2 linked regions of the Macaca mulatta genome follow. The protein of the gene in region 2 binds, or shares a complex with, the protein of the main gene of each other region. Links are inferred from orthologs where the notes say so. Each region holds a gene or a part of one and is shown on either strand. Other genes may lie near its edges. The genes, in order: DCP1A and PAK1.

What was found.
Region 1: PAK1 (region 2) and DCP1A share a complex: the UniProt entries of both Homo sapiens proteins name them as parts of the cytoplasmic complex. The link is inferred for Macaca mulatta from reciprocal best matches to the Homo sapiens genes PAK1 and DCP1A.

Annotation. Positions count from the first base shown.
Region 1 is NC_133407.1:116,924,756-116,928,566, reverse strand, and holds part of DCP1A (mRNA-decapping enzyme 1A), read left to right. Parts: intron 1-2,423; exon of another isoform or gene 2,424-2,443; coding exon of another isoform or gene 2,444-2,484; coding exon 2,485-2,612; intron 2,613-3,811. UniProt on the Homo sapiens protein: Necessary for the degradation of mRNAs, both in normal mRNA turnover and in nonsense-mediated mRNA decay. Removes the 7-methyl guanine cap structure from mRNA molecules, yielding a 5'-phosphorylated mRNA fragment and 7m-GDP.
Region 2 is NC_133419.1:77,888,270-77,892,849, forward strand, and holds the start of PAK1 (serine/threonine-protein kinase PAK 1), read right to left. Parts: upstream 3,095-4,580; 5' UTR 3,038-3,094; intron 2,970-3,037; exon of another isoform or gene 2,472-2,969; 5' UTR 2,309-2,471; exon of another isoform or gene 2,166-2,308; intron 1-2,165. UniProt on the Homo sapiens protein: Protein kinase involved in intracellular signaling pathways downstream of integrins and receptor-type kinases that plays an important role in cytoskeleton dynamics, in cell adhesion, migration, proliferation, apoptosis, mitosis, and in vesicle-mediated transport processes.

The sequences.
Region 1 (3,811 bases), on a different chromosome or scaffold from region 2:
GAAATCTTAACCAGGTTCTTTCTTTTCTCTGAGCCTTTCTGTGATTCAGAATAAACTGAACTAGAATTTATATTAAAAGTCTAGCAAAGCAATTTCAAAATAATAATGATTGAGTCTAAAACAGATACCTGCCTCTCTCTCCCTACCCCCATATTAGAAAGAAAAAAAAAAAGATATATATTTGGGGAAAAGATAATACATAGACTAGCTCTGTAAAATAATGTTTTTCATTACCTCTGTTGTTTTATTACTGCATGGGTGGTTGTCTTTTATGACTGGTTCTGTCCTCTTTCCCAACCCCCAGAAGTTCTAGATTTTGTACAGTGTCTTGTTTGAGAGTTCTTTAGAAAGCTTGGATTATGCATAATGGCATATTTTTTATTTTTAACTTATTCAAAAATTCATTATGTTTAAGATTGGTTTGCAAATTGCAACTGTTTTGTTAGGCAGCTTCTGGGGCCTAAAGACAACTGACAGTATATGATAGTCATGGGGTGCTTGTTTTCCTGGATTCCTCTAAGGTCTTACTCTGACAAGGACAGGTTCCTTCCCTTGTTTTCTAAAGCTTGAGTCAGCAGGAGTTATTACTGATATCTGGTCTTCTCCCTTTTTTTTTGCATTGAGTTGCTTTTTAAGGATTGCCTTTCTCCATTGATGCCAATTTAAAATAATTTGTCAAATACTCTTCCAAATTTTGATACAAAGCCTTGAGATCTTATCTAAATGCACTCCATTTTTTTTCTTCTTTTAAGTGTAATTCTTTGATATTTGTACACCAAGCTCTTCTTTCTTAGACACTTTGTTTGTTCGCTGCTATTCATCTTTCTTCTTTTAAAAAGAAAGGGATCGGCCAGACGCAGTGGCTCACGCCTGTAATCCCAGCACTTTGGGAGGCCAAGGCAGGTGGTTCACGAGGTCAGGAGATAGAGACCATCCTAGCTAACACGGTGAAACCCCATCTCTACTAAAAATACAAAAAAATTAGCTGGGCGTGATGGTGGGTGCCTATAGTCCCAGCTACTCGGGAGGCTGAGGCAGGAGAATAGCGTGAACCCAGGAGGTAGAGCTTACAGTGAGCCGAGGTCAAACCATTGCACTCCAGCCTGGGCGACAGAGCGAGACTCTCATAAAATAAATAAACAGATAAATAAATAGGAAGGGATCTTTACCCTCACTCCCTTCATTACTCTTCATTAGCAGTATAAATCTCTAGAAACTCTGTTATTAGAACCTTAGTTTCTATGATATTTGGAAAAGGTACTTTACTGGGTTTATTGTTATCATACAGAGGCACTGATTATAGAAAGTAGGAGATTTAGTGTAGTGGTGGCTGGATTTAATACAATTCACGGAGTCTAATATGGTACTGATTCTAATTAAATGAGACGCAAGAAACTGTGTTTGGAAAATGTGAGACTATTTTGTGTACCTTGGATAAAGGTATACCAGGATGTCAGACTATCACTTTGCAGAGATTACTTCGTATAGTAGAAGCTTGGATTTGGAGTCAAAAAACCTGAAACTGAATCCGAATTACATTATTTGTAACTCATTATTTGTGTGACCTCAGGCACAGTCCTTAATCATTCAAAGCTTGTCTTCTAGTCTGTAGAATAGTGTTAACACCCCATATATATCGTAGAGAAACAAACGAAAAACTATGAAATGTTAGGTACATGTGAAGAGTAAGGGATCATATACCGAATCCCTCTGATACGGGAACCAAGGATGTTTCCTATTGTAGGATTCAAGGCATTTTCTGTCTAACTCAGGAGCACTATGTAAAGATCTGTTTGGTGCAAGAAAAACCATTATTGTAATGATGGGCAGCCATTATAGCCAATCCAATGGAATGATATTTCATTCAGCAACTGTGTGTCTATATTGGGATGTATGTGTGAAAAAAGTAAGACAAAAGCTCCATTTGCATGGGGCTTACATCCTAGTGGGGGCAGGACAATTAATATTAAAAATAAGTAGTATGGATAAAAGAGAAAGGTTAGAGGTATTGAGCTTGGGAACATTAAAAAGGGTAGTTCAAGTAGGCCTCATGAAAAAGGTGACATCTGAACAAAGGCTTGCAGGAGATGAGATAGCTGTGCAGCTTCTGGGGCAGTAATCCAGGAAGAGGTCTTTAGGTAGAAGCACACATGCAGAGAGAGTGGCAAGGAGCCCAGTGTGGCTGGAGAGGAGGAGGTGGGGAAGAGCCATAGGAAATGAAGTCAGAGGGGGAATACATCAGGTGGGGCCTTGGTGGCCTCAGTAAGGACTTTGACCTTTACTCTGAGAGACTGTCTTTGGAGACTTCTCATCAGAGGAAGAATATAATCCGACTTAAATGTTTTGTTTACAGGTGTAAGTGCTTGATAATATTGTATGTTCTAACGTATTCTTTTCTGAAATGAAAATAAAGCACATAGTAGATAACATTTCTACAGATTAAATGGTAACTGCATATTTTTTTTTCCTTCTATTAAATCTAAGGTCAGCTTCCCCTTACCATGGTTTTACCATTGTGAATCGACTAAATATGCACAATCTAGTTGAACCAGTGAATAAAGATTTGGAATTTCAGCTCCATGAACCATTTCTTCTGTATAGAAATGCAAGCTGTGAGTATATCTGTTTTATTATAGTTATTACATTTAAAATCGAGTGACTTTAGTTTCTATCAATCCATTATTTAGTAAGTTTCAAATTACAAAACAAAATATGGCCTATACTTTATGATTATAAATGAGTCTGTTAGAAAGATCAGACGTTTTAAACTGGGCTCTGAGACCAGACGTGGTGGCTCACGCCTGTAATCCCAATACTTTGGGAGACCGAGGAGGGCGGATTACCTGAGGTCAGGAGTTCGAGACCGCCCAGGCCAACATGATGAAACCCCATCTCTACTAAAAATACAGAAAAAAATTAGCCGGACTTGGTGGTGGGCACCTGTAATCACTTGAACCTGGCAGGTAGAGGTTGCAGCGAGCCGAGATCGCGCCATTGCACTCCAGCCTGGGCAACAGAGTGAGACTCTGTCTCAAAAAAATAAATAAATATACTGGGGTCTGAAACTAGAAACATTCTTTTGTATATAATTTTGTTTACTATTTCGTTTACTAGCACTACATTTATGTTGTTGGTTTATTAAAATAAGGTTTATGCCTTTGTTTTTTTGCAGCTGTGGACTATCAGCTGCCCACATCCCTGAGCAACAGAACTTAGTTTGGGACACACAGGATGGGAGCAGATACAGATAATTCTTTCCACAAAGAAAGTATTATTTTTGCCCAGAATAGTGGTGGTGGGGTTTTTTTAAAAGATATTTATTACTTTTTCTACTTTATTTTGTCTGAATATGTTTCTAAGTAGGGTTTTTCTATCTGTTTATTTAATTGAGTGTCTGCTGGTTACCAGCACTGAGCCAAGAGCTATGGTGCTTTAATGTTTGTAACCTATGTGCTATAGGGAGGCAGTTAAGGCAACTAAGACTCAGAGATGCAAAACTATTACTCTGTTGGAGAGTTAGGATTATAACTCTTCTGCTTTTTAGTCCAGGGTTCTTTCAGGCATTTTTACAGCCTCTAATGATAATTGGATGCAGTCAGCAAAGCTAGATTGGCCCTTCCAAGAAACTACAGTACTAAAAAGTGTACTTGATTCCAGTGTGTTGGTATGGATATTGAAGGTATGGGTGTTTGAGGACAGTTTGTTCTACATTGACTATAGGGGGTATCAAAACTGGTTATGGTAATAATTGTGCTCTAATTATCATTTAAGGATATAGTTGGAGAAATGTTGCTTCTAACTTAAAAAGTAA
Region 2 (4,580 bases):
TCAAGCAGTGAGTGCTATGGAAGAAAAACAGGGGACAGCGGGAGCTGGCAGGGTGCTTGTTTTTATCAAGAGCAGATCTTTTAACCCTGTGGTTCTCAAACTTTAGCAAGCATCAGAATCATTTAAAGGGCTTATTAAAGAAATTCACAGGCTACCGAAAAAAGGCACAAGCTCAAGTAATTACAATAGAGTGCTATAGAAGACCATAAGAGTGGTATGTGTATGAGCCAGAGGATGGAAGAGCAACTCATTCTACGCAGGAAAAGGAAAGACTAAGGGACTGCATCGCAAAGGCCCAACAAGGACACCTCCACAGGCAGGTAAAGGGTGGAAGGGAAGCATCCAGGAAGAAAACAGAACATGCAAAAGCGAAGATGAGAGTGGCAGGGGAGCCACAGAAAGTGAGGCTGCAAAGGCAGGCAGTGGTCTGATGCCTGAGAGTTTCTTATTCCATGTTAGTCTGAAATTTATCTTCAGAATATGAAGAGTCAGGGGTAGGGGGCATTGATGTGGTAAGGTTTTGTTTCACGGAAATCTTTCTGGATGCACAGTACCTTCCTTTGAGGCACTGCTTCCTTCAAACCTAGCACAGGGACTCAAAACATGCGCTTAGTAAATGTATATTGAATTGAACTGAACAAGCTTTTTACCAAATGCCCTCTTATGGATGAGGCAGGTCACCTTCCCTGCAGGACTCACTTTGGCCAAGAGAAGACTTGTAAAACAGGTCCAGCAGCCTCAATTATTGCACACTACTACCTGTACAACTGGAGTCCCCCAGAGATTAGGGCAGACCTTCATTGTTTACTTGTCTACCTCACCCATTAGACTTTGAGCTCTTTGAAGACAGGGAATATCTTAATAGACTGAATCCCCATAGCCTTAGCAAGAGGCCTGAAACATAGTAGCTCTCCAAACTCCAGTAATGTTGGATAAATGAATTGACTGAATTAGCAAATTCACCAAGGCAGACACATGAGTTCATGTAGTTAAGCGTATGGATAAACTTCAGGGAAAGTATGGGAAGTTTTCAGCGTCAATGTTCCCAAAACCCTTTTTGAAAGGCATAGTTGCTAGTTGGGGGGGGGGGGGTTCTACGCACGTGATTTAGAATTTTCCAAATAGGAACCAAAATGTTGTAAGTGCTGTGGTAGAAATCTCACCGGGCCAATGGGAAAAAGTCAGTTCTGTCTGAGAGGAGGGACAGGATGGAGGCCAGCAAAGATTTCACAGTGTGGGAATTCTTCAGTGGACTCTTGAAAGCTGAGTTGGTGCTTGCTACCTGCCCGTTTTGGGGCATAAAACCAAACTTCTGGAGCTTTTAAGGCTGGAAGTGACCTGCTCAAGGTCACACAAGAAGTAGATGAAGCCACAAGGTAAGAGATGAGGTATCTGTACTGATAATTCCTACTTTCTCCTGACAGAGTTGAAAGAGAACCCACAAATGTAGGAGGCAAAATTAAAGATTTTTCTCAAGAACAATTCTTAAAGTCAAGACTAACGAATTGAATTTTTATTAGTAACCACAGAACTAACCCTTCCCTTCACTGTTCAGTTTTTGTTAAGAGTAGAACAATTATCCAAGGGGTTTAAAAACCAAGGACGTTGCTCACAACCCACTACTTCTCAAGTATTCTTCCAAAACATTCCCAGTAATGTGTATTGTTGAAATAGGATAGCGAAGACTACAACAATCATGTCTTTTCAAATGGATTAATGAACATAAAATAACTATAAATCTCCTTTCCCGGTTGTTTTTCACTTCCCAAGTTACAGAATATTCCGCGGTGGGGGAGGGGCTGCGTAAGTCAAGTCCTACCAGCCCTTATTTTTCAGGGAGTAAAACCCTAAAGGTGACTGTCCAAGCCTAGAAGGGGTCATTTATTCCATGCAGAAGGAACTGGGGCGCCGCTTTGCTGTGCCTCCTCGTAGTGGGACAGGGTGAGCTCTGCAGGACTGCAAAGTTCGGAAGGGACTCGGTCCCGGACCGGTACCCGTGGGGGCTCCCGGCCCCAGCCTGGCCTGGCCCCGCCCCGCCCCTTCCCTCTCCCGGGTCTCTCGATCGCCCGGCGTCTGAGACCCGCGACCCCGCCGGTGAGCGCACGGGGGGCCTTTGTTGGCCCGACGGGAGCGGGCCTCGCTGGGCGACGCCCGCCTCACCTTACCTGGAGCCTCCGCCGGCCCAAGCGCCCGGCCCCGCCACGCGAGATAAATGGGCCCAGACCCCTACTCCACCCGTCCGCACCCCCGCGCCCCAACCCTGGCAGCCCGGGACGCGAGGGGTACCGGGCGGGAGGCCCGCTCTCACCTTCCGCGCTCGCTCAGCTCCTCTCGGCTCCTCCTCCTCCTCCCGATGGTGGGTGCCGCCGAGCCGGGAGTGAGGGCGCGAGTGTGTGCGAGCTACCGCTTCACTTTCTCCCTCCTGCCGCCGCCGCGCCGCCAGTGCCGGGGATCCCCTCAGGACAGGGGAACTGCGAGGGAAGGGATGATGGGGGGGCGGCAGGGAGCGAGGCGACGCGGGGCGGGGGCAACGGTGGGGGGCTGAGGGGCGAGGTGCGAAGAGCTCGGATGGCCTCTGAGGCAGGAGATGGGAACTGGATGCGGAGACCAGGTTCTTCGAGGGGGCTCACGAGAGCGCGGGGCTCCGTGAAAAAGGGAATAAGAGTCCGAGGGGGAAAGCGTCTATGGAGGAGGACGGCGGAGCCTGCGAGGGAGGCGCAATAGGCGAACGAGGGGGCGGGAGCGTGTGGGGGAAGCCGTGAGGGGGCGTCTACTGTGCAGCCGCCACCTTCGGCTCCGGCTGCAGCCGCGGCAGGGCCGCCTCCCCCGCCTACAACTGCGCTATTGTACGCCGCTCGGCGGGCCTGACCGCCTAGTTCACTGGCTCCCCTCCTCCTCCTTCTTCCCCCTTACCCCCGCCCTTTCCCCCTTCCCTCCCCCCCGGCCTTTCCCCCTCCCCGGCGCGGCGGTGGCTCCGGCGGAGCCGTGCCCGCCCCGCCTCCCGCAGGTGGGAGGGGGCGGGGAGCGCCTGACCGACCCGTAGGAGCGAGGCCAAACCCTGGCCTGCAGAAGGGCGAACGCCTGGGATTGCGTCATCGGCGCGTGACGCCAGAGGCTGGGGAATCACCCGGCTGCTGCGTGACGTCATCGCGTCGCGTCACTCTTCTCGGTCCGCTGTCCTTGGCCGGCAGTTTCCGTGCAGCATTTCTACCAGACAATTTTGGGACTATTTCTGGGAGGGCTAATGGTGTAGCCAGGATGGAGAAAGACGGCTAACTTCCGTGGCTGAGGATCCTCTTCAGGTTAACGAAGCACCACCGCATCTATAAACTCGTTGTCAAGGGCTGAAGTTGAAAACTCTCCGACGTTGTGTGATCGCAGAGCCAGACGTGTATTATGTTTTCTTTGTGTGGGAGGTGGGAGAGGGGACGGGGATGGGAGGAAGACAAAGAAATTATAACGGAGAAGTTTGAACTACTGTGAACTGATATAGGATTGTGAATTGATATAAACAAGAGTTAAGTTCCTGTGGCATATTTCTGGTCACAAGACATCACCAAACTTCTAAAGAACAAAACACCTCTAATATCAAACATTGACATCAATGTGACTTATACATACATTTAAGAAAGATTAATAAAAAGAGGCCAGACCAGGTGCCTTGGCTCACGCCTGTAATCCCAGCACTTTGGGAGGCCAAAGTGGGCAGATCGCTTGAGCCTAGGAGTTTGAGACCAGCCAAGGTAACATGACAAAACCCCATCTCTACAGAAAAATAAAACCCAAATACAAAACATTAGCCAGGCATGGCAGCACACACCTGTAGTCCCAGCTACCCAGGAGGCTAAGGTGGGAGGATCACTTAAGCCCGGGAGGTCAAGGCTACAGTAAGCCATGACCACACGTCTTTGCACTTCAGTCTGGGCGACAGAGTGAGACCTTGTTTCAAAAACAAAACAAAAAACAAAAGCCTGGGCACAGTGATTCATGCCTGTAATCCCAGCAATTTGGGAGACCAAGGCAGAAGATCACTTAAGCTGAGGAGGTCGAGGTTGAAGTGAGCTGTGATCATGCCACTGCACTCCAGGCCAGGAAACAGAGTGAGTGGAATAAACAGAGTGAGTGGAATAAATAAGTAAGATAAGTGTCTCAAAATAAACAAGATCATTATTTACCCAATTTTTCCAGTTCAGGGTTGAGAGTGGCTAGAGCCTATCCCAGCAGCTCAAGGTGCAAGGCAGGAACCAACCATGTATAGAATGCTACACTATTCCAGGGTGCACTCACATGCACACCAACACTCACTCAGACCAGGACAATTGAAATATGCCAGTTAACTTAATGTGCACATCTGGCCAGGCGCGGTGGCTCACGCCTGTAATCCCAGCTCTCAGGGAGGCAGAGGCGGGAGGATTGCTTGAGCCCAGGAGTTCGACACCTGCCTGGGTAATATAACGAGACCCCATTCTCCACAAAAAGGAAAAAACAAAACAAAACAAAAAAGACAAAAAATGTGCACATCTTTGGGATGTGGGAGGAAACCAGAGTACACAGAGAAAACAGAGTCCAAACTACACTGG